Tribolium castaneum: one gene and its partner. The protein of the gene in region 2 purifies or fractionates together with the protein of the main gene of each other region. This does not show direct contact. Links are inferred from orthologs where the notes say so. Each region holds a gene or a part of one and is shown on either strand. Other genes may lie near its edges.

Region 1 (12,534 bases), on a different chromosome or scaffold from region 2:
GACGCTTTTGAGGATATCTTAAAATTTCGACCATTTAACGTTAGCGTAAAAAACAGCGATAAACAATTGATCGGATTTCCGTTGAAGTATCGTGTACAGTTCACTGTTGACAATTGTAAATGCAAGAAGCTGGATATTGAATTTTGTAATTTTATGAAAAACCTTAGTGTCTAGAATAATTAATAAAGCAAGTAGACATTAATATCACATTTTTTTTTAAACATGTAAATTCCCATCTACCTAATAACTACTTATTTTAAAATCTTTTTTGGCCTCCAGTACTGTAAAACGTGAATGACAGTTGCCCATTCATGAAAGGTAACTTGACCTTTAAACACGATGCTGTAAACTGGTAGCAAACAATTAGGTAAAGTAACCACAAAACACTGGACGATTAGCAGTGTGAGGAAATTTTATGGGGTGGCCATGAGGCCACAACCGATCAGCTGACTCGTCATAGCGCTCTCGCGATGTTCATATTTATCGATGAAATGGTCCGTTATAGCGCTTGCATTGGCGTAGTTTACTAGGGGGTTTATACAATTAATGTTACCGGTTGATTCGTCAGAAACGTTACGATTTGTATATTTTTTTAAAAAGGACTTTAAAGAAGGATTATTTAGTTATCTACAAAATGTGCTCGGGGTGAAATCGCAGCGTATTTCCCTTTGAAACGTGGTGTGGTTGAAAACATTTCAAGAGCTAAAAATGGTAAATAATTAAAAAAATATTAATGTCACACCAAAGAATACTTTAAAATGAATTACAATTTCGTAATTTAGTTCTACTAGGTCGCTTTTATGCTTTTTAAATAAGTACATGAGATAAAAATGTTCTTTTGACTTTTTAGATATTATTAAAATTAACAGAGAGTTAGGGCGGTTAAAAATAAAGGTATAATATTAATAGATAAGTGACATTAATTATTTTTTAATTATTTACGAATTACGATTTTTAGCTCTCGAAATGTTATCAAAGGCGATGAACACGCTTCAGAGGGAAATACAGTTCGGTTTCACCTCAGGCGCATTTTGCAGTAATTTTAAATTGCAATAACTTGGTGAGTCTTACAGATAACGAAATGATTCTTGCACCAAAAATTTATTTCAAGTATTAGCTTTATTTCGTCTCGATTATGTGGGAGTCTATCTTTTAAATTAAAAAACTTTCTCGCATCTCGAAAATTTCACTACACAATTATACAACGTTACAAGAAAATGTAATTTTTTTGGTTTCCCTTTATCAAAACTCAACCTTGTTAAACTACATATAAATCTGCATTTATTGAAAATTTGTTTGCAAAAAAAACGGAGTTTCTAGCTTTATCCAGAAGGAAGATATGAGTATGTAAACGCAAAATGTGTCCAATTTTAGGTGTTTGCAAATTTTTAGCTAAAACGTCTTTTCAGCCCCTTCGCGAGGGTTGAAACAAAAAATTCTTTGTCTAAACATTTTTTAATACTCTTTCCTAACTTATATCAACAATGTAAGCTATTCCACAACATTTCGATTTAAAGGTTTATCTGACTGCAAGCGCGCGCCCATGCATTAACCTTCGCCCATAAAGTTTCCTCACACTGCGATTAGACATGTTTAAGATACAAACCGTGCTTACCATAATTAAGTTCGTATAACGAAATACTTGTTACCTATAATTATTTAATTCAATCGACCATGGTGTATATTTAATTAGTGAAAATATAAATCCCCCGGAGCAGCGCCACCTATACATACGTTTGGGAACCACAAATTTTACATTTTTTTTCACATTTTTTATTTTGCACCAATCTTTAAACGTACTATATTGCGCCTCGTACCTTGTCTTCGATTTTTCAGGCAATAATTGTTTTGTAGCACCCTCTGCAAGTTGCCTTATTTCCGGAGGTGTAGCGGTGAAACTATCACTTTCACCACTGTCGCTCATCTTGGTTGATAATGGTTGATAGATATAAACGTGATTTGTGATATAATTAAATTTGAAATCGTCGCTTGATTTTCACAAATTTAACAACTGTCAAACTGTTTCAGTTGTTTAACATGGCGGCCAAAGCCTACTATGTTTAAGTGACTTTGAGTTTTTATTTATTTTATAAAGAATAATATTAAAAGCTTGTCGGCCAAAAAGTTTTATACAAATCTCATGCGTTAAGTCATTTTACAGCGCTTCAACTAATAAGGCACTCGCCTTTCAGGCTCGTGCCTCAAACAAAGTTGTCACGCTGTAAAATGTGACTTACCGCATTCGAGTGTAAATAGCTATTAATTTCCTTCAAAAATGTTTAGTAGTCTATGAATGAACAGATACTTAGCGGTTCCATTTTGGACCTAATACATCGATGGTTTTCTTAATATCTGGAATGGAATAACGCAAAATGGAAACAATTTTTGCGTTTTTCTCGGAAACTGTAAGACTACAGGAACAAACAAAAAATCATTAAACCCGGAGTCGCTCCGGGCAACGGTTCCGACTAATAGTTTTCGAGAAAATTGCAGATAAATGTAATTTTAAAAAATTCATAACTAAAAAACTATTGGGATATTGGCAATTTTCTTGGTGCCAATCGATTCCCCGGCGCCTTTACGCAATGTTACAACCTTTTGCCTCATTATTTTCTTATTTCTGTCAGTTTTATGCTTTACATTTATACGTCCATGTGTTCTATCAATCTCTTATTTTTGTTTACGTGTTGTTTCACTTACATTTTCTACACTTTTATTTCATAGAAAAATTGTTGCCGTGATCCGGGTAACTACATAATTGCAATAATTCTCCTAAAATGCAAATACATTTAGTTCAAAAGTCGGCGAATTAGCTCGAGAAAGCATTTTGTTCTACTTTTTTCAATTTAATTCTCTAATTTTTCATCAGATTTCATCAAAACATACCGGGCGTATAAGTCAACTAAAGTTTGAAGTTATATTTCACCTTTACGTTAATCTTTTTTTCTCTCAAAACAAAAAGTACGTTTACAATTTGGGGCCTTTACGTACTTTTACATTTTTGCCGCATTATTTTCTTATTTCTCTCAGTTTTATGCTCTGCTTTACGTTTATTCGTCTATGTGTTTACTCAATCTCTTATTTTTGTTTAGGTGTTGTTTCACTTACCTTTTCTACACTTTTTTTCATAGAAAAATTGTTGCCGTGATCCGGGTGCGAACACCCGACCTCCCCCGCCGAAAGTGGCGCTTATACCACTGGGCCACGAGGCCCTAGGTACTGACCGTCTTTTGCAGATATTTTAACACAAACTTTTTAATTAAATCAACATTACTAACTATATAATTGCAATAATTCTCCTAAAATGCAAATACATTTAGTTCAAAAGTCGGCGAATTAGCTCGAGAAAGCATTTTGTTTAACTTTTTTCAATTTAATTCTCTAATTTTTCATCAGATTCCATCAAAACATACCGGGCGTATAAGTCAACTAAAGTTTGAAGTTATATTTCGCCTTTACGTTCGTCTTTTTTTCTCTCAAAACAAAAAGTACGTTTACAATTTAGCGCCTTTACGTACTTTTACATTTTTGCCGCATTATTTTCTTATTTCTCTCAGTTTTATGCTCCGATTTACGTTTATTCGTCTATGTGTTCTTTCAATCTCTCATTTTTATTTGCGTGTTGTTTTACTTACCTTTTCTACACTTTTTTTCATAGAAAAATTGTTACACCTGATCCGGGGTTCGAAATTTTAAACTCACTCTAGCAAATTTGTGTATAGTTATAGTTTTGGAGAAAAGAATAAAAGACTTTCAATGTTTAATTTTTTATTAACAAACATAATGACTCTCAACATTTTTACAAGACAAACACCAATCACAACTTTGACTTTGTTCATACAATTAACTACCGCTGGTCCCCTATTCCAAAGCTATCCTAAATATTTTTTCAAAATTTACAAGTTCGATTTCATGAAAGGTTTTAAGTACGATTTGAATGACTTGTTAACTGGCTCGGAATTGAGTGGACTTTTGGATGCTTCTTCATACAGTCTTTCGTACACGTTTCCGTCATAAGCTCCCAAGGTAGACCCTAGAACTTCGTCACGAATGTCAAAACTATCAACTATTCCCACTGCATTGGGGCGTATAAGGGCCAAGAGTTCTTCCAGCCAGTCCTGGAGTGTCTCCACATCTTGTCCGGTGATATTCGTGAACTAAACATTACGTAGAGTATTACCTACCGACTGCGCCAATTAAAAAAAAATACTTACTCTAAAAAGATCCCCTGTTAATCTAAGGGCCGTATAAACGCCATACAAGTTCAAAAGTTGTACCAGAACAGTTTTGAGCTCTTTAGAGACGTTCAAACCGTTAACAGTGTTGTAAAACGTTGTAACAATAAAACACCGACAGTGAGCTTCGGCAGCCGCCACCAACTCAATCGAAGTTTCATTCCAGGCATCTTCGTACGACTTTCCATTGCGCACCCGGGCATTTATACGGTTATTTGCCAGTTCAATTTTACTACAATCAAATTTAGCAAACCTTCAGTAACCACATTAACACCCACCTTGCCGCAGTTTGCTGCAGTGCGTGTATAATCCACTCAACTGACTTTTCAAACGGGTTACTTTTGCTCATTTTGCGGCCCAAGTACGCCACAGTCGCCAACTTATCCAATTTGTTACGATTCTGCCACGACTTTATAAGAAAACGTGATGTTTGCAACAGAAGTACGGTGTTTTCGCCCTCGTAAGTGCACATTGCCGTCACTAGGCCGTAAGTTGAGGGCAGGTTGGACGAGGTCATGTAGCCGTGGCCCCCACAGGCCAACCGGCAAATTTCCACACCCTGGGCTGCATCGGCACTGCTCACAGCTTTAAGGCAACAGGCAATAGCGTGGAGCTTAAAATGCGCTACTCAACGGACTAAAGTGGCTCAAGAAAACTTACTTCAGGCAAACTCTCGAGCTGACCGGACTCCAGCTCGTTGGTGACATTGTTGTAAATGTCCCACAGCCAAGAGGCACTATACTGGAATGCAAAATAAGTGGCGATGTGCGGGAATAACTTATACTGTTGCGTCACGAAATCGATTATTTGGGGCTCGGGTGCACTGAAACACCACAGACAAAATGAACAAGTAGGCTTTTTTGGCGACTTACTCGGGTTTGATTTGTGATTGGTGGCGAACGGCGCTGTAGCGTGTTGCTATGGTTACAGCCTTTCGCAAGTAGTGTGCGGCATCCTGTACTATCACAACTCGGACGAAAATCATTGTTCCGTAAGTTAGCTTACTACTGGGCGATTTAACGTAAGTGCCATCCTAACGATATTCCCATGTAAAAAAATCGAAGCTAATAATGTTACTTACAGGTAAAACTTGACTATTTTTCATTAACATGTTAATCCTGGGTATTCTGACGTTGTCAAAACCCAGGTAGCCGTTGTTGGTACTGTTCATGCCAAGTTTGCAGCCAATTTCTCCGATTTTAATGCCTGGTAAAGGCTCGTGCGTTTCCTCATCACGAAGCTGGACTATAAAAGGGTGGATTCCGTGGCAAGTGCCTTTTGTGTACAGTTGGGCCACCACAACTGCGTAATTCGCGGAATGGCCCACTACAAAATTACAGTCAAGCTAATTTTTTGGATTTTTTTTTACTTTTTTACATCCTCCCGGCCACCATTTGTACGAAGTGAGGGTTGGACTGTGCAAAACAAATTCCTCTGTCGCGGGATCGTAGGTGGCTGTGGTTTCAAGACCTCTGATAAATGTGCCATGACCTAATTCAGTCTATAATATATTATAAGACAATAAAAGTTGCGTATATTATAGGATAATTACTTGTGCGTAAGTTCCTATAATATCACAATTCCATGCCCTTTGGATCCATTCGGCTTGTTGGTCAAACGTTCCCTGTCCCATCAGCGTCGGGATAAACATAACATAGTGCAGCGTCAATGGATTGCCGTCTTTTAAAATGGCAGAGCCTAGCTGACCACCCAAAATTTCTCTGCAAAGCGATTTGGAATCGTGGAAACTACTCTCATTTGTTTAAATTTACAAGCCAATCGGGCTTTAAAAAACAACCTTCTTACATATTCATGACTCAAATGTAATAAAGTTGCGTCATGAACCCAAAAAAATGAAACAAACAAAGTTGTTTCAGATATCTATAAAATTACACGGCAAAGTTCGCAACGCTTGCAGATAACGCAATGATGAAGCGAATTCTCCACTGTATTAAAATTAGTTGCTTCAATAAATCTGACAATGATTGTGATTAGATAAATGCATTTGATTCGGCGTCGAGACGGTCGGAACCTTCCATACCTGAAATTGTCCATACCGCCTTTGCCTTGGTTCTGGAGCTCTTGTACTTTTCGGAAAATAATACAAGCTTTTCGTACGGCATCTTCATATTTCTCCTTGTGACTTAAATACTCCAGTGGGACGTTCGATTGTAGCTCCGGGTCTTCGAGGAAAAATTTTTCTGAAAATTACGGGGCTAATTAACAAAATTTTAATTGCCCACAATGGCGGGACCCACTCGTTACTTAATTACATGGAAGCGAAATTAGAAAGTTGCTCTCTCTTGTGAAAGCACGTACTATTATTAGTTATTTAATCGGGAGAACAGTCATTTATCGGTTGCACACGGCAGGTAACAACGTTAAAAGCGTTCGGCGATTCGAAGTTCGCGCCCTTCGTAAATAGCCGACGTGACCCGATGACCTATAGCAGTATTTCCCCCAAACTGAATTGGTACAAATTGCAGTTTATTACATTTGACTATTTTTTCCAATTTCGACGGCAAGGTGTAAGGTGTTTAAGCATGTTTTACAGATAACTTGACATTAAAAAATTACAAAACCTGACTTAAATATTTCAAAAAGACTGGTTCTTCTGCAATCAGGAACCAATCCAATGAGAACAACTGGCTTTGCAGGTGTCATTGGAATTTTGTGCTTAATTTTTTCGATCGATTTCTCGAGAAGTCATTGATGATATAATTAATTTGTCGTTAAGAAGAGCAAAGTTCATACCTCTACTGTGTCTCTCCTCTGTTTTTGTAGCACTGCCATCCAGTAAGTGTGTCAGTTCTAGAGTATTGAATGTACATTTTTCTCTCTCTTTAATGAGATCAGGATTTACTGATTTTTTTCTGTCCATTTTCGTTAAATACACAAAATAAACAAAAGATTATACTTTGAACCACTATCACCGACACTCTATGACAGTACTACCACATCACTACACACGGTAATTAATCATAAATCTATTGCCACCACTGCCACTCCTGCCTACAGAGGGCGCATGATATTTCACCCAACAAACTCGTCACCTCAGACTTCTTAACCAGAGAAAGAGAGAGCGTAATTGGGCGCCCAGCAAGCTAGAAAGAGACGGGGCGTCCAAACGACACGTCCCTCTCCCTCTACCAAGTCTAAGATCGCACTTAAGCCAAACAAATGAGTATAGTTTGCTGTGGCTCAGGTGACTAGAAGTATACTTTGCACTCTTATTGCTCATTTGACTATGTAATTAATTTTTTTATGAATTAGTTTCGTTTTTGGTAATTGAAGTCCACTAAAATGTTTGAATTTCATGGCCAGCGACGTGTCAGGAGCCAGGGGCGAATGCGCAGATGCGTCGTTTTTTGTGCAAATTATGTCACATCCTTATGATTCCTTTATTGGTTATGTACCCTAAGTAAACAAAAATTTTCGGATTGTTTGATGAATAAATGTGGACTTGTAAATAAATGTTTGGTTGAAATCAAAAGAAGTAAAAAATGAATAGGGAGATGCGGCAAAGTCACAGGACACCGAAGAAAACGCCAATTACTGACGATTACGACATTACTAAGACGGTTTTAGGCCTCGGGATCAACGGTAAAGTCGTCGAGTGTTTTTCTAAGGCTACAAAAGAGAAGTTCGCTCTAAAGGTGCGCTGTTGTAAGTTGCTCAATGCAGTTTGTCAATTGAACGTTTCAGATACTTGTCGAGAGCCAGAAGGCTAGAAGGGAGGTCGATTTGCATTGGCAAGCCAGTGGCTGCCGCCACATAGTCAATATAATCGACGTCTATGAGAATAAATACAATAACAACCCTTGTTTACTAGTTGTGATGGAATGGTGTGTGCGCGGTTTTTACTAATTCGGGAGTAAGTTCCTTTGTTGTAGCATGGAGGGCGGAGAGCTGTTCCAGCGGATTCAGGATAAACCTGACGGGGCTTTCACTGAGAGAGGTATGCGTTTGGGTAATAGTTCGATAAATGACACGTTTATTAATTTAAGAGGCGGCACAGATCATGCATGAGATATGCATTGCGGTGAAATACCTACACGATAATAACATTGCACACAGGGACTTAAAACCAGAGAATTTACTTTACTCAAAGAAAGGTACTTACGGTATACTTAAGTTAACTGATTTCGGCTTTGCTAAGGAAACTTTAGTGAAGGACACCCTTCAGACGCCTTGTTATACACCATATTATGTTGGTTCGTTAACTCCCCAATCAATTGGCTCCCAATCTTACTAATTATTTCCAGCTCCTGAAGTTTTAGGGCCTGAGAAATACGATAAGAGCTGTGATGTTTGGTCTTTAGGAGTCATTATGTACATTTTGTGCGTATAAGTAATTTTGTTAAGAGTTGTACTAAGTGATTGAGACAGGTTGTGCGGGTTCCCTCCATTTTATAGCAATCATGGCTTGGCGATTTCGCCAGGAATGAAAAATAGGATACGAATGGGCCAATACACATTCCCTAATCCTGAGTGGCAAAATGTTAGTCAAGACGCTAAAGACCTTATTAATGGTATGCTTAACGTGGATCCGGCCAAGCGACTGACAATTGATCAAGTCATGAGCAATAGATGGATTGCTGTAAATGACTGTTTTAGTCCAAGGGTCCACCTTTTATTTTCATTTTTCTAGCAATACACAGCTGTGCCTCAAACCCCCTTGCATACTCATAAAATGCTAAAAGAAGGTGAAGAGATGTGGCCTGAAGTACAGGAGGAAATGACGCGCTCGTTGGCCACAATGAGAGTGGATTATGACCAAGTGCATATAAAAACGCTAGAAAATTCAAATAACCCGCTGCTGAATAAAAGGCGTAAGCGTTCGGCGAATCAAGTGACGCTAAAGGAGCAGAAATAACGTCTAGTGATTTTATTTCTTCAAATCACCACGGAACGTGCATTTTGATTAATATGTTTACAAACAAATCGATTTTAGCTGAATGATTAGTGCCTAATGGAATAGGATTTTAACGTTTTAAAATTGTATTAATTTAGTTACAGTTGTATTACACCGTTTGTAGTACTATTATTTGGTAATAGTAATACAACACACGGTGCAACAACATAATGTTAAGAAAATGTATTATATGCTACGATTGAAGGTGCTTTTGGAATTTCCTGTTCAAGAGAAGTGTCACTGTTGATTAAAAATTTACTACAAAATTTATCAGACATTTCGATTTCATAAGCATCTTGATTTAAATATTTTTTTAGAAAAAACGTAAATCATTTTCACGATTTACTAGCACATGATGAGTGCTATTTTAATGTAAATTGCTAATAAACTCTTAATAAAGTTACTTAAATTGTTCCTAACGATAACTCTATGTACTCAATTTTTTCAGTTGCAAGGTTACGATACGAGTTTGTCTTATAAATAAGACGCAGTGTTTTTCTACTTTTTTTTAAGAAAATAATAAAATGAAAGAAATTGGACGTATAGCTTCGTTTTAAATTTTATAATATCGCACTAAATTAAATAGACAAAATAAAAAAAAATGTTTTTTTTAAGTTTATTTGTAAGTCCAAACACAATCAGAACATTACAAACATGGAACAGAACATCATGAACAATATAATATTAAGAAATTCAAATATAATGGTAACATTTTCAACTTCTAGTTAGACTAGTTAGGATTTATAGCTTGCGAAACAAGCGGCAAAGCTATATTTAACACATTTTCAACTTTGGTTTAATTGGTATGTTTTAAAAAAACATACGGAACATTGCAAGAAGGAACATTAACACCAAAAACAATATAATACTAAGGTTTGCACAGTGAAACATTTGACTAGGTATCGTTTAAAGCTTTAGACCAATCAGCGAAACTACCATCACTTTTTTACCTTGACTGAAATGTATCTAGTCTTAGCAAAATCGTTTCATTGCACATAAATATCAAAAGGCGAAAGTTCTCCGGTAAGAACTTCTAATACTCTTTGAGTACTATTGGTGAGAGTTATAACTTCACCAATTCGACTAGCAAGTTTTGCAAACACAAACAGCAAAACTTGTTTCATTACAAATAAATAAAAAAAAAGTAACGTAACAACCTAAAACTAGCAGAACGATTAAATCAGTACGGATTACTGATTTTCATTCGGTGGCTCGTTTGAATTATCTTGCTTCTCCTGCAGGAGAGTCTTCTTAACTTCTTTCTTTTCTTTCGGAGAATTAACCGTAACTTTTTCTGACAACTGTTTGAGTTTAGCAACGGTTTCAGTAGAAATATCTTCCATCTCCGAAGTTAAATCCTTTGCGTTCGAGAACATGTCATCAAGTGAGTTTGAGATCTGTGAGGTGCGGTCCACAGTCATATTATATTGATGGCTTACCATCATGTAAGCTTCAAATGACAAACCATCCCTGGTCGCAACAACTCCCTACAACACGAAATCTTTAGGCAAAATCACTCAAAATCAATAATCCGTACCTCATTATGAGTCGCTACACCTCTTCTAATAGCATCAAAGAAACTACGAAAGTAGTCTTGATGTCGGCTGTGATTTTGAGCAACTTCCTCCAAGCAAACTGTTTGGCTTTGCTGAATTTCTTCTTTAGCCGCCTCAAATCTTCTCTGAAGCGAAATCAAATGAAGATGTGCCTACAAAAAAATGTAAACAACCAAAGCAATTTATGGTTAAAACCTTACAGTCTCCTGATTGAACTTAGTAAAAAGCGTAATTAACTTATTGTCGATTCCTGGAGCTTTTTCCTGCAACAATTCGGTCAGTTGACCAGCATACCCCCTTATGTAGCACATGGTCTCCAATTCCAAAGTCAAATCCTCTTGGGTGTTAAGAAAATTCTTAGTTATCTTGTCCAACAATAGCAGTCTTTGATTACTGAGGCTCATTAAATGTTGAATTCGCAAGTAACGTTTTTGCATGGTTGCATGTAAATTAGTCAGTAGCGTGTAGAATCTCTCGTACATGTCGCTCAGTAAGGAGTACTGCATCCCGACATCGTCCTCATACTGAAACGTTGCCTCCGCCAATGATGTTTTGGTAGATTCTATATAACCTTGAAGTTTGCACAGAGTTGCTTTCACTCTGTGATAATTATCAGCCAAGATTGAATGATTCTCGATATGCATGGTCGTTAAATTCGCCCTGGCGCTAGTTTCGGTGAACTCCGACGCGCTCAACAAAGAGTCCAACGTGCATTTTAGCGAATCGGCAAATGCGCAAACATTGCTTAGGATAGTCCTCAAGCGTCCCAAATTCATAAATGTGACCTCTCTAACCTTCTCATTATTTGTGGCTATATCAGACAAATTCGATCTCTCATCGTTTTGGAAGAGTTCGACAGCGAACTCAACCCCGCTCAAGGCTTCGAAAGAAACGTGGACCATTTCTGTGGCAATTTCCGCATTCTTTGCCTCGGCCTGGGGTTCACATTTTTGGGTTGTTTCTTGCGCCAACTCTCCGGTATCAGGATAATACTTTTGGTGCTCACATACGCCCTCTAATTTTGTTATTTCCGCCGTAAGTGCGACGGCTTTTTCATGGTTTACTTTAAGTTCCATCAACTTTGCGTAGTTTTCGATCTCCGCTCTGAAAGACCCGGCTGTGCCTAAATCCCGGCGTAGAGAACTAACTTCGTCTTCTAAATTCTTCACTTCATCATCTCTGCGTATGTTTATTACGTTGGGGACCGGGTTAGTGGAGACGCCTCGCGCCATTTGCACGTAGTCCAAAGTAGTGACTGTGTCTTCAAATGCGTCACTACAGGGTGAAATTGTTGCAATAATCGAAGTATTGCCTTTGCCGTTGAGGCAGTCTTGCAAAACTCGGGTCAGTTTTGAGTCTCTCATGGGAACATGTTTAGATTCAGAAGCGAGGGCTTGAATCACTGTTTTGAAAGTTTGAAGCGCCTTATTAATGACTAACGCACCACACGATGCAAGGAAATTACTTCCAGCTAAATCAATCAAGTGAATTCGGCCAGTTTTAACTATCTTTTCACCCTTAAATGATTCGAAAATCGTAACACCAATGGTGAAAATTGTGTGACAATGTAAACTTGGCTCGCTACGATTATTCGCTCCAACCATTAACATTTCAAACAGTTCAGTGCAATTTTTTACTCGAATCTCCGTCACACCCTTAACACGTGTCACCCCCTTGTAATTCGGATCATCATGGACGCTAAATCGGACAAATGAGCAAAAACCACAACCATTCAATTTTTACCTCAAGCCAGAATTGTCATTAACCACAAGGTCACGGATTTCTTCATTGTATAACTCAACAAAGGATGCAGTAACGACACACTCAA
Region 2 (12,744 bases):
TTTGTTGGGAAAACGTTTCTACCTACAAAAAAATGTACTCGATATAATCGCATTTTCGGCTTAAACTGGCGAGTTTCCGCCTTGTTTGTAACAAAATTTTACAAAATAATTTAATTTGGATGTTATCTTACAAGCTTTCGGTAAAAAAACCGAAATTTTAAGATAAAAACGGGTTTTAAAAGTTCAAAAAGCTAAAAATAATACAATTTTCCACAAACTTTGGAGTTTTTCAGCTTAGTTTTGACGAAATTTTACTGAAGTCAGCTGCTACTACTACAAAGTACCATCAATTTAGATATTTTTGGTGTTATTATTTACGTATTATTTGACTGACAAAATAAATGAGTCTAAAGTTCAAAAACGAATTAAATCAAGTATCAATTTCGATTCAATTTGGAAAAAAAATGTCCCCCAAAAATCTGCTTAATTTTCAAAAAAGGCAATTTTAATACCATTTCCTATCCATCAAGGAGGCTACGTTTTTATCCTCCCTAAACCAAACTCACTTTATTGCTCTCTGGACTATTCCTTTCACATTCAAGGATTTTTTCAAATTTGTACAACATATCAGCACTACATTTCATCACATGGTTGTGATACCGATTAGTGTGCGGGTGCTGGATTATGGTGGTTAGAGCCTCCACAGTCACTTCCATCAACTCCATTTCTTCTGGAGACATGCATTCAGGATCCGTCTTGTTCCTTTATTATTTTAACTGAGAAAATTTCCAAAATCGATTCCTGAACTTACCAATATGCGAAACACGTCAAATTTATTAAAAGATTCATAACTGACGTACAATCGTCAATATTTAAACCGCCTAACTGTATCCAAGCAGACGCACATCTTGCCGCATTTAAATACGTCGTCAAATTTAACATATCGAAGCTAAAAGATGTGTGAAAAATTGTAAGAAATTAATTTAAAAGTGCGTAAATACCCGGCACTTGGAAGTGGCATGAGACACATCTCGACCACTTTAAGGATGTCTTTCGAAACGTCTTGCAAGACAGTGCGTACCCTCATCCGTTGGCTTACTGCTAATAACGTGCTTTGAAACTAAAAAATTACCATGATCAAAGTCGCCTGTGACTTAAGTGTTGCCAACTCAATTTCCGAACCCTTACCTCTTCTGGTATCACAGTCAGGATTTCTAAAAGTATCCAAATGACTCTTTCGGGCTCAACGTTGGGCAAGTGCTGGGGCTGGAAACTCGAAACCAGCTCTTCAAACGCATTGGGCCAATGCGTCGGCACAGTGTGTATAATATAAGCCGACAACTGGAACAGACCATAAGTCGAAGCTTCCCCCTTTGTAACTTACAGTAATGCAGAGCCGGTTCAGGACAATTTTGGGGCCCATGGCATAGTTAATAATCGCCTCCAGAATGCGCTTCTTCAACAGCTCGTAATGATCCTCCGGCACCTCATTCCAGTGCTTCATCAGCTTCGTATGGAGCGTCGTGGCAGCAAAGAACTGCACTTCGGAATTCTGCAAATCAAAGCTCACTTTACGCACTGGCGCGAAACTAGGCTTACGCGATGGGGGCTCAACAACTCCCACACGAAGCTCCACGCTTGGGGCGAATTCTGGGCCTCGGTCAGCCACTGGTGGGCCTCCGCCTGTTGCCCCGCTTCGGTGCGGTAAAATAAGGTCACGGCTTTTTCCAAATTTTCCGCCGTGTATTCCATGCTTGATGCGAATTTAAACCAAATCTTCGAATTAATTACGAGTTTGTTTTTACTTTTGCTACATTTTACGGAGTGACAGTCGGCGTTACGTCGATAACTGTCAAAAATACGCGCTCGTCAGCAGTCTTACGACACGCGCTGGGGGCCAAGGGGGCTGACACCAACTGGGAAATGGGGCGTTTTTGTGCACTTTTTGCCACGATAAAAAACACAAATTGTCGATTTACGAATTGGACGAGGTTAAGGCGCCCCCACTGTCGCCAACCCAAAAATTACAATTTTGGAAAAAAATTAATAAAATTGTTTAAGCGCAACATTTTTTTTAGTGTTGTTTAAAACGGTGTTTATTGATTATTTTAAATCATCCAAAGGCTGGAAAAGGGCAAGGAAAAGGGTGTTTTTCGTGTGGTGTTGGTTGCATAGACAGCCGTCACTCTTTTGGCAGCTGGTTGATTAGAAAAATGGCGGATACCACAGAAAGTGAGTTTGTTTAATAAACATATAATTTCAATTTTTGTTATCAGTGTTGTGATAACGGTCAGAATTGGTTTAGATTTGCGCTAGTGCGAGGTACATGTTTTGATTTTGTCGCTTTTATAGATTTGGACAATAGTGGTAGCCTTAACCCCCCAATAACAATGAAAGTGGATGCACCAGCGGAAGAAGACAAAACAGGTAACCCAAACGTTTCGCTTTGCTCGTGTTTGCTTCACGTGCCCCGTTCCAGAAGCTGGTGACAACGAGAAAAACGCCAAGAACGAAGAATTCAAAACGTGCACTCCTGATAGAATTCCAGTAACAAGTGTTACAACAAACCCGTTCGCTACTTCACAAAACAAATTGGCAACGCGTGGCATTTTGAAGCCTCCTCAGTTGAGTCTAAACAACGCTAACAATTCCGCAAAACCGGCTGTTATTCTAAATCCGAGTCGACTGAACCCGTTTGCTAAACCAACAAATGATGGCGCCAAGGAAGAGAGCAAAACTGTTCAATTGAACGGGGAAACACCAAAATTCGTACCACTGGTGCAAACAGAACCAAAAACGAACTCAACTCAGCCGGTTGTAACAACGGCCAGCACAACCCTCTCGACAACTTCCTTCGTTTTTGGACAGAACCTACAGGACCGTGTTGTGGGCAGTGACGCGAAAGCGGACGAACCTAAACCTTCGACTAGTTTAAATTCCAATGGGACGTCGGAAATGCTCTTTAGCAGCGCTATTAAGAGTGAGGGCAAAACTGATGGAACCATTACCAGTAAAGAAACGAAGTCGTTGAGTGAGTCGGCGAGGGAGTACGAGGAGTCGAGGGCCAATAAGAGGAAGTACGAAGAGGTGGAAATTATCACGGGGGAAGAGAACGAAACGAATATTTTAAACATTAATTGTAAATTGTTCGCGTTTGATAAGGCGTCTGGGAGTTGGCAGGAGAGGGGCCGAGGGGTTTTAAGGCTGAACGACTTTGAGGGCGAAGGGCACGCGCAAAGTCGGCTGCTTTTCCGGACAACGGGGATTTGGAGGGTTATACTGAACACCAAAGTGAGTGGCCAGGTTATTTCCCCGGGCCTATGAATTTTTTCAAAATTTTTCCACATTTGTCTTTAATCAAAAAATAAAACTGGTTTCATTAAAATATATTAAAGCTGGTTAGTTAATTTCGGTAATTTTTTAGATTTGGGCGGAAATGACTGTAGAACAGGCTAGTGAGAAAAGCGTGCGGTTCACGGCGATGGACCCGCAAGGTGTGATCAAAGTTTTCCTCGTAATGGTGAATTAAAGTGATTTTTTAAATAATTTTTTATTGCTCGTTTGTTTCAGGCTAGTATTGAAGATAGTAAACAACTGTACTCACAGATCCAGCTTAGAGTGCAGAAAGAAATAGCAGCCCAAAAACATAAAAAACTTAATGTAGATAAAGACTCAGGGGGCAATTAAATTGTTTACTAAATAAAACATTTTCACGGTACCATTGTGCAGAGTTCATTTTGATAAAACTACAAATGTGATGTAAATTAAGTTTTAATCTTTAAACAGTAACGTTTTTACAGAAGTTTTGTCACGCTCATCGATTCTAGTTATTTAAAATCTAAAAGTATCATTTAATTGGATGTGTTATATTTTGTAATGATAAGCAATAAAACTTTGAAAAAAGTACAAGCCCTTTTGCTACCCACAAAAATGAAACTATTTAATTCAAACAATTATTAAGCTGACATGACTACAGTGAAACCCCTTACAACTGCATACACCTAAACAAAAGGCAAAAAATGATCATTTTCCGTTGTTCTGGTTAAATAAGTTACAGACAATGGGATAATGATTTTAACGGGGACAGAGATAAGCAATGAAACTTGTAAAAAGACCAACAGTATATTTTTTGGGGCATACAAAAATAACAATCTGCACAATCTCAATTCTACACAATATCGAAAGCCTTATTCAGCGTTTCCAAGTCCCGATTATCCACTGCCGCCCTAAGTTCCACCTTATTCAACAAAGAGATACACATTCGCAACGTGGACCATATCGTGTCCGACATCTGCGACATTGCGGGTGAATTTTTTACGTCCCTGCCCCTCGCCTGTTGGTTGAGAGCAGTTAAAAAGTGTTCGGCGGCCTCCCTGTAAAACACCTCTCAAAAAAAATACACTCCAAATAAATAAAGTCACCTATAGGCCCTTAAATTTATACAAATTATTCCTACATTATACCGCGCTCGTATAAAACCAGGCTCTAGGTCTAGTGCGCGGTGATACGCCTCCACAGCCTCCTCCGATTTGGACCCGTTGGCTAACGTCGCCCCCAAACGGTTCCACAATTTGGCGTCCTGCAAAACCAACTTAACAAAAATCCCTAAACCAGTGCCGTTATTACGTCGTATTTTACGGACAGCGCGGCTCGGAAACAATCAGCCGCCTTTTCGTACTCTCCAGATAAATTGAACAAAACGCCGAGACCACACTGTACTTCGTAATCAATATCCACAGGTTGTCGTAAAGCGGCTTTTATGTATAAGTCCTGGATGAATCGCTGCTGGTTCCTATGTAATCGTAAAATTAATTGCGGTTTGAATTTTTAAATTAAGTTGGCAACACTTAAAATAAAATGTTGCCAATTTAATTTCGCGGCCACTTTGACCGAAACTTTGAAGGCACAAAGGTTATTACAGAAGCTGAGCTTAGCACTAATATTTACAAAGAGTCACTCAAAGCCAGCCCCCTCACTTACGGCTGTAAAAAGCTTGTAACTTGCCCAGTTAGTTGAAAATCGGGTGGCACCAGATCGCTATATTTCGGGTTATTTGTGAGCCATTTGAGCAACATTTGTGCAGCCTGACTGTAGTAACTCTCGTTGGTGTAACAGACAGCCAAGGCCATGAGCGCCGTTAAATTATTGGGTTCCAGTTCTATACACTTTTTCAATGCCGGTATGGCATTACAGTCCTGTTCGTTTTCCGCTTGGGTTTTGCCTAATAGTAGCCAAGCTTCGCTGTTTTCAGGCTCTTGTTTTACGGCCGCTTCGAAACATAAAACAGCCGACGGCAGATCGCCGTCTTCGAGCAGTTTTTTGCCTCTTTGTAAAGGGTCAGGAATATCAAACATGGGATTTTCTTCGGTAAAGGTATAGTCGTTGTATGGGGCAGTATAGTAGGAGTCGAATTCGCTCGCCCAAGTGTTTTCGCTAGATTCGGCGCCTTCTAGAGTTTGTTTGAGCTCTTCCTGGAGGTTGTTCCAGTATTTGGAATTGAAATCGTCTTCTGAAATTAGGGCTCAAGGCTAGTTCTCGACCTAATCATTCATTTTGTATTAAAACAAATAAAATTTCTTGATATCACTCGTAAAAATCAAGACTTCTGTAACTTAATATTAAATATTTAACATTCATGTGGGATAAGAGCATTATTCACAAACTGAGCGAAAATTGCACAGTTGTGTAATCGGATAAGTTTGTTAACAATGCGTTATCACAACAAAAAATCCATATCTTAGAAACAGCTTTTTTATATCACTCGCCTGTATTTATTTATTTGGACTTTAAAATGTGATATTTTTCAAGAATTTTTTTTTGAAATTTCTTTTAGGTTTCGAGTTATTAAAAAATATTTTTTTAATGGCACACTTGTACGGCGATTTTTTTTTTTTTGGATGACGCTTGGTTCCAACGTAATTACAGCAAATAACGAATACAGCGGAAAGTTTTAATAAATTCAATGCTTACATTCGAGAGTAAAATTAAAAATTTCCTTTTTAATAATTAACTTTGCTCAACTGAGTTAGGTAAGTGATGTTGATAATAAACATAAAGGAATTTTTTCCTGTGTATTTTTTTATTTTCTTAAAGAATTCTTTCTTCTTGCCTTTGTTCCTGAGAGACTGGCAGTGATTTTTCTTTTTAGTTTTCAGTTCTTAAGTAATTTCCGATTTTTATTTTTATTCAAGTTCTATATTGTTTATTTTATTTTAATTTAATTTTTTTATATTTTCTGTTAATTTTTCTTTGAAGGTAAGTTGAATACCTTCAAGCTAGACTGCGCCTTCTCATCTGTTTATTATTGTTCAATTTTATTTAATAAAAAGCTTTGATTTATTATTATTATTATTTTTATAAATAAACTATCAAAAAGAAAGTAAACAAGTGTCAAGAACATAAAAATTAAAATAAAAACTAGATTTTAAAGATAAAAGCGCTATTAATAACTATTAATTAATTTAAAAAAATGTATTTTTCAATTAAATAAAAATTGAATCCAGATGAAATTTTCATAGGAAATTAAACTTTTTTGTATTTCATGTGAATAAAATGTGGAAAACAAATACACAAACAGAAAATAATACAAAAAAAAAGAAACTGGTTTAATTTAAATCCTTGATAATTATTTAATTTATGATCTCGAAATTTAATAAAATTCGCTTTTTGGTTTTTACTTACCTTGTACTATTTTTTTTTCTGGTAATAATATATTAAAAAAATCGATAATTTGTTCTGAAAGTATAAAGTGATAGGTAATCATGTTAACTACATTCAAAAACTTAGTTCAAAAATCTAACAATTGAACAGCTATATCTCGTAACAAAAGGCTTAAACAATTTTTTATCAAAACGATTTCTAACTCAGTTGGATGTCTTTTTTCATTACCTAAGATATATGATATTATTCTGTATAATCGATAATTTTTAATCGCCAATATTTGCAAAACCTCAAAACCCTAGCTCAAGCCTTTTGGTTTATTACTGATTTTAACATTTTTGTAAAAAATAAATAAAAACTTTTTAAGGAAAAGATGGTTACCGTAATCCTTTTCCCACTTTTTGGCGACTTTTTCAGCCTCCGCTTCGTTGTTATTTTGGAGGAACTCCTTGCTCCAGGACTGCGCCTCTTCCTCCGTCAGCCTCCCGTCCTCCAAATTAACATCACCATCGCCGACTTGTTTCATGAATCTCATAAACTGAAACCTATTCATTATTTACCGTCCCCAAACCCTGACGTAACGTCTGACCTTCGAATACACAAATTTGGGGTCATCAACAGCCTCAACAAACTCCCGAGCGCTCTGCTGCGAGGCATTTACCTTGCTGGGCCCTGGCAGTATCTCTGGGAAATTATCAGTGCCCCAGTCGTCCACCACAGCCGCATTGTTCTGCTCCTGCGAGAGGATCTCCGTCCAGATCGCCTCACTGTTCACATTGTCCTTGAACACAAATGACAGTGCAAAACTCACAACCAGCGCCTATTTACATTGAAGATTTTCCCGTCGTCGATGTACTGCTGCGCCCAGGCGTCGTCGTGGATCTGGTCCTTGATCGTGGAGGCGGGAATTGGCGGCAGCGCCGACCTTTGAGACTCAATTTCGTGCATTTCTCGCATCAAATCTGGAAGCGTCACAGGTGAATTACGGGGGTTTTAACGCACGGGGGGGCCCTACCGTCCATCCGGAAGCTCTGGGGCACCGACTTCGTCTCTTGCAGGAACTGCTCGACCAGTTGGTCCGAGCTGCTGGGGAAGGCATGCCCGTGGGCCTCCGCGAAGGCATGATCGTGGGTCAGGTGCGACGTCAGGCGGGCCAGGGGGTTCTTCTGGCCGCACTCGGCCTCGGTCAAGGGGTTAAATGCCATTTTTTCGGTTTTTAGCCCAGTTTACACAACCAAGTGCATTTTATCAAAACAAATTCCAGATTGACGTAAGTGACACTGACAAGGCCACTGGCACGGCTGCCAACCGGCACCAGTGGCAAGCCACAATCACCAAAAAACGTGATAACTGATAAATAAAACTTTTTTTCTAATATTTAGTTAATTAAACACAACATTTGGCTAAAATAACGTAAATCTGATCGAATGTTTGGCTTAAAAGACTTGACGCGGCGCCAACTTGGTGCGTATAGTGACATGTCATAGTCACCAAAAATTGAGGGAAGCCCCGGGAGTGAAACAACTCGTTAAAATATATTTTATTACATAAGTAAATACAACAAAGACATCACAACATGGAAGTGATTATAGTCAACAAATTGGGTTAAAATAAATTAATCTGATAAAATATTTGGCTTGGAGAAAAAAAACACGGATCATCGTAATATTAAAACACAAAAGGTTGATATGGGTGTCACATATGTCGAAATTCCATTTCCACTAACAATTACGACAACTCAAACCCAGTGTTGCAAGTGACAGCGTACCGCAGCTTCTCCCTCAAAGTGCTTTTCTTTTGGTAGTTGGGCAGCTTCAAAAGATTGAAACAAGTGGAAGACGTCGGTAAGCGATTCTGTGGGTCCTTTTTCCGTATCGTGAAAAACCCCCGAAAGACGCTTCCTGAAATCCCCTCCAGATTTTTCCAAAATCTAACAAATTGCAAAAAAAATACCGATCGTGTCTCCCGTGTCTTCATCATCGCCAACTTCGACACACCTAATCGAAAAGGGCGGCTCCAAATGAGCGAAGCCTAGAAGCGGCGGTTTGGAACAACTTGTCACAAACTGCAATTACCTAAGTTAGGAAAATTGGGCTTTAAATTACGGGGGGCACCTTTAGGAACATTCCTTTCTCCTCCTCGGTGAAATCCTTTTCTAAAATATCCCACAGCCAACCCACCACGCGGTGCGAGTCGTGAAAACCGCCGTAATACTGAGTGTGTTTGCGCAAATCTTTCATGTCTAAGGGGACATTATCACCCGAGATAAGGCGTTGCAACTGGAAATTTATTGTTAAAAGAGCGTTTTCAACGGTTTGAACCCACTTCAGGTGTTGAAAAGAGCGACAACCAGTCGGGGTTGATAATCGAGCGGAAGCCGCGAATGAAAGCGCTGGTTTGGTCCTTGATTTGCACGTGCATTCGGAAGTGGGCCATCAAGTGGATGTAATTGATCCTAAAAGCACAATTCATTGGAATTAAAACAAAAATATTCGTGGAAAAAAGGAGAAAAAATGGTAATTTCAACAGAAAAAACAAAAATTTGAAAAATGAAATATAAAGAAAGACAAGACTTTTTACGTCTGACACTCCAAAGGAAATACATTAAATATCTTCATATAAAAAGGTCACTAATAAGAATTTTCTTTTTTTTATCTTTTCCTAAACCAAACTTTCTTTATTATTCATAAAAACTTCGTCCGTATTATAAGTTCTCACTTAGAAAAAATTATACTCTAAGGATTTTATTTTACTGAACATTGCAGAATACATATAACATTATTTGTATTATCCTATGTTCAGTTTTATTATTATTAATTATTATTATTATTTATCCTTTGAAAAAAACTCCGAAAATAAAAAAATGCCTCACAAACGATTCTTTGCTTCGAAACAAAAAAACTTTATTAAAACACTCTGCCATAATCAAAATAATAATTACTTCTCCACTTTCAAGTAGAGCATAAAATCATTGAAGCTAATTTGGGGACGAACATAAAGTACAAAAACCAAGCATCACAACAAAAAGTGCCAAAGCTGGACTTCAAATAAAGTAGGAATTAATAACACAAAAGTAATAAAATAAGTGAATAAAGTAACAAAATAATTACTTGTTCTCATTTGTCACGGGGACGGCTTTGCCCCCCGCCACCAACTCATGCGTGACCAACTTCCCCATGCATTCCTCGTCTAAACTAAACGTTAAGTCTAAATCGGAAACATCTCCATCGTAATGTTTCACATAACTTAAACTTCTGTACAACTCCGGGTCCAAAGACGGCAATTCATCGACGCAACTGTACAAAGCTTGAGCTGTTTGTCCTGAAACCTGGCTTAGAAAAAACGAAGCGAAAGGCACATCGACTACAATTCCTTCATAGACGGCTTTGCCCAGCATCCGGCCCACAAATTCAAATAATTGCAAGTGGTTGTCTTGCAAATATGAAGTGGGCGAAGGGTACAAACGTTCCTCACTTGTTACTTTAAACAAATTTAGAGAGGGGTCAAAAATACGTTTGATGCTCTCTTCAAGGAACTCTTTAAAAACGCCGTCTTGATCAATCCCGGCCTCGTCTAGACCTTGCTCGTTGATAAAACGAACCCTTATTACGCCTTTAAGGGCTTGGGGCGGGAGGAGGGCCAGTTGGCGATAGCCGTCTTCAACAATTCGAGACCTGGATTGTTTTTCGTTAAAAAAAAACACGAAAATTGAGTGGTTTTTTTTACCTGTGAACTGTGATCAGAGTCGACTGGGGAGAGGCACAAGCCGACTCGGTTAAACCCAAAACGGTTTTTTCGTTTGTTATGTATTTTCGAAATAGTCGCACTCTATCCTCGTGTGGTATGATATGTGGCATTGTTTGGAGGAGCAATTGAGGGGCCTTTCGGCCCTTTTCTAGATCGGCCATAAATGTCGATATTTTTACATCTTTAAGTAACCAGTGGCCTTGAGGAGTGTACGTTCTGCGACAGTCTCGCCGATACAACAACATTAATAAAGTGTGTAAGGACTGGAACAGCGTGTTGGTCTGAATTGTCTTTAAATCTGCAAAAAATCAAAATAATGGTTTTAAAAAACAAACATTCTTGGCCTAATTTCGTGACTTTTTGACTCATTTTTGGGAAATTTCGAGCAATAATAGCTTTTATTGCCAAAAAAACAGTCGAAAAAGGGAAAAATACTACAACTTTCGACCTAATTTGGTCATTTATTGCGTTAGTTTTGACGAAATTCGTTAAAATAATCGCATTTTTGACCAAAAAAACGTATCAAAAGATTACGTAGTTTATTACATAATTGAGAACTAATTCGGAAATTGAGATTTCCTTCTCAAAAAATCTAAAATACCATCTTCCACTTTTTCTGGTAGTCTTTGGTTTACTGTTCAGAAATTTCTAAAAATAATTCAGAAAACCCAAAAAATGATAAGTTTAACCAAATCATTACCAAGTTTAGAAAAATATCACGAGTTATAACTGAATCTTTAGTTCAAAAACTTACTTAGACGCTCGAAAAAAGGGCAAAATTAAACCATGTTCGATTTCCATTTGAGAGTTTTAAAAAATAAACCTGTTTCTGTCCGAAAAACGAGTTGAAAACTTCAAAAAAAAAGAATGAAAATTGGCTATTAAGACCTATGTACTTTATAACAAAATTTAGAAAATTTTCGGTAAGTGGCATTTTTAACTCAAAAAGGTGGTTAATTTCTCGAAAAGGACAAAAATAATTCCACCTTCGACCTAATTTCGTGTCATTTTTGACAAACTTCGAGCAATAAATATGCTTCAGATTAAAAAAAAACTTTCGGAAAATGTAAAAATAATGTAAACTCTGCTTTTAGCTCAAATAATAAATAAAAAATGTTCAAACAAAACAAAAATAGCACCACTTTCATCCCAACAGGGCATATAATCAACTAGTTGTGATGAAGTTTCTCAAAACAATCGCATTTCTGGTGAAAACACTCGATTAAAAAACATTTAAATTTTAAATTACAAAAAACGTGCTACATTTTGCTCAAAAGAAGCAAAAAATAGGCAAAAACCACATAATTTTCGACCTAATCTGATAATTTTTTGGTTTTTTTTTGGACAAAAATGAAGGAAATAATCGCATAACTTTATCTTTTTCTTTACAAAAAAATGAGTATCTCAAAAACCTGACTAAATACGCAAAAAAGACCAAAATATAACATCATTTTTTATCCATTTCGACGATTTATCAGTTTATTTCTGTAAAGAATTCTAGAAATAAATGCGTTTTTGGCTGAAAATGCACTGAAACGCTTGGAACAGGCAAAATATTTTTTCCTTGCTTTATCGAAAATCCGTTTTTAATTTAAAAACGTGCTCAAAAATAACACCATTAACGATCTACGACTGTAGTGATTTTTAAGGCAATTATTGAAAAATTGTATGTAATAACTTAAAAAAAGTGACCACATAAGCAAAAAAAAAGAAATTAAGTTTAGTTATGACATTGTCAATAAATAAAATTTTGTTGAAATAGTTTGTCCAACTTGCTATTTCTGGTAAAAATTAAATTAAGTTTGAAACAATGAGTAAAATAGGGACAAGATTTGAAATTTGTAAATATACTTACCAAATAAATTCCCTAAGACGGCTTTGTACAGAAACGTGTTTAAAAACGAAGATAAAACAATAAAGTCGGTTAATTTAAACGGGTTTTGTTGCTCGTACATTTCCACATCATCAAGAATCCTAAAATAAACCCATTACCTGCGTTCTAGGGCAGAAAAACGCCACTTACGTTACATAATGAGTCATGCAATCACAAAATAATTGCAACATTTGAAACTCGGGAGCTGTGCACTTTGTGTTAATTGCAAGATGATCTAGGAACGTTTTAAGCCCACAATTTGGTCCAAGTGAGCACAAGAACAGCCACAAATCGTACAAAATTGAATTCTGATAACACAAACCTAAAATACAATTTTTTCTTCCACAATTTGCTAACATTTTCGCCGCCAAACCTGTTAAAATATCCAACTGTAGTTGAGTCAAAGTATTCAAAGCCGTATGATACAGCGAACACACTAACACGACTCGATGAACTTCGGGACTTCCCAGCGCGCGATAATTTTTCTGAGTGTTGGTTTTGTTGCCTCTAGATTCCAAAACCTT

The links.
Region 1: the proteins of Pex5 (region 2) and ACOX1 purify together in Homo sapiens (affinity purification with mass spectrometry; 3 studies listed by BioGRID, with this or other methods). This does not show direct contact. The link is inferred for Tribolium castaneum from reciprocal best matches to the Homo sapiens genes PEX5 and ACOX1.

The regions. Positions count from the first base shown.
Region 1 is NC_087403.1:4,257,775-4,270,308, reverse strand, and holds ACOX1 (probable peroxisomal acyl-coenzyme A oxidase 1), read right to left. Parts: upstream 7,253-12,534; 5' UTR 7,117-7,252; coding exon 6,990-7,116; intron 6,437-6,989; coding exon 6,277-6,436; intron 5,957-6,276; coding exon 5,788-5,956; intron 5,737-5,787; coding exon 5,613-5,736; intron 5,562-5,612; coding exon 5,317-5,561; intron 5,269-5,316; coding exon 5,108-5,268; intron 5,059-5,107; coding exon 4,896-5,058; intron 4,849-4,895; coding exon 4,514-4,848; intron 4,468-4,513; coding exon 4,215-4,467; intron 4,158-4,214; coding exon 3,897-4,157; 3' UTR 3,752-3,896; downstream 1-3,751. Other genes in the region: MAPk-Ak2 (MAP kinase-activated protein kinase 2), read left to right, coding at 7,739-7,891, 7,941-8,080, 8,129-8,193, 8,243-8,449, 8,501-8,576, 8,625-8,835, 8,887-9,111; kinesin-like protein KIF11-B, read right to left, coding at 10,341-10,637, 10,688-10,858, 10,907-12,404, 12,450-12,534. UniProt on the Homo sapiens protein: Involved in the initial and rate-limiting step of peroxisomal beta-oxidation of straight-chain saturated and unsaturated very-long-chain fatty acids.
Region 2 is NC_087395.1:23,158,071-23,170,814, forward strand, and holds Pex5 (peroxisomal targeting signal 1 receptor), read right to left. Parts: upstream 7,908-12,744; 5' UTR 7,806-7,907; coding exon 7,616-7,805; intron 7,563-7,615; coding exon 7,429-7,562; intron 7,382-7,428; coding exon 7,190-7,381; intron 7,139-7,189; coding exon 6,982-7,138; intron 5,450-6,981; coding exon 4,921-5,449; intron 4,737-4,920; coding exon of another isoform or gene 4,733-4,736; coding exon 4,567-4,732; intron 4,520-4,566; coding exon 4,362-4,519; intron 4,314-4,361; coding exon 4,109-4,313; 3' UTR 4,044-4,108; downstream 1-4,043. Other genes in the region: cdm (importin-13), read right to left, coding at 507-702, 752-889, 942-1,060, 1,129-1,281, 1,325-1,492, 1,540-1,692; RanBP3 (ran-binding protein 3), read left to right, coding at 2,154-2,172, 2,293-2,367, 2,420-3,231, 3,365-3,460, 3,511-3,627; ubiquitin-protein ligase E3B, read right to left, coding at 8,329-8,501, 8,554-8,665, 8,715-8,879, 8,926-9,055, 9,711-10,274, 10,327-10,645, 12,203-12,321, 12,371-12,542 and 1 more.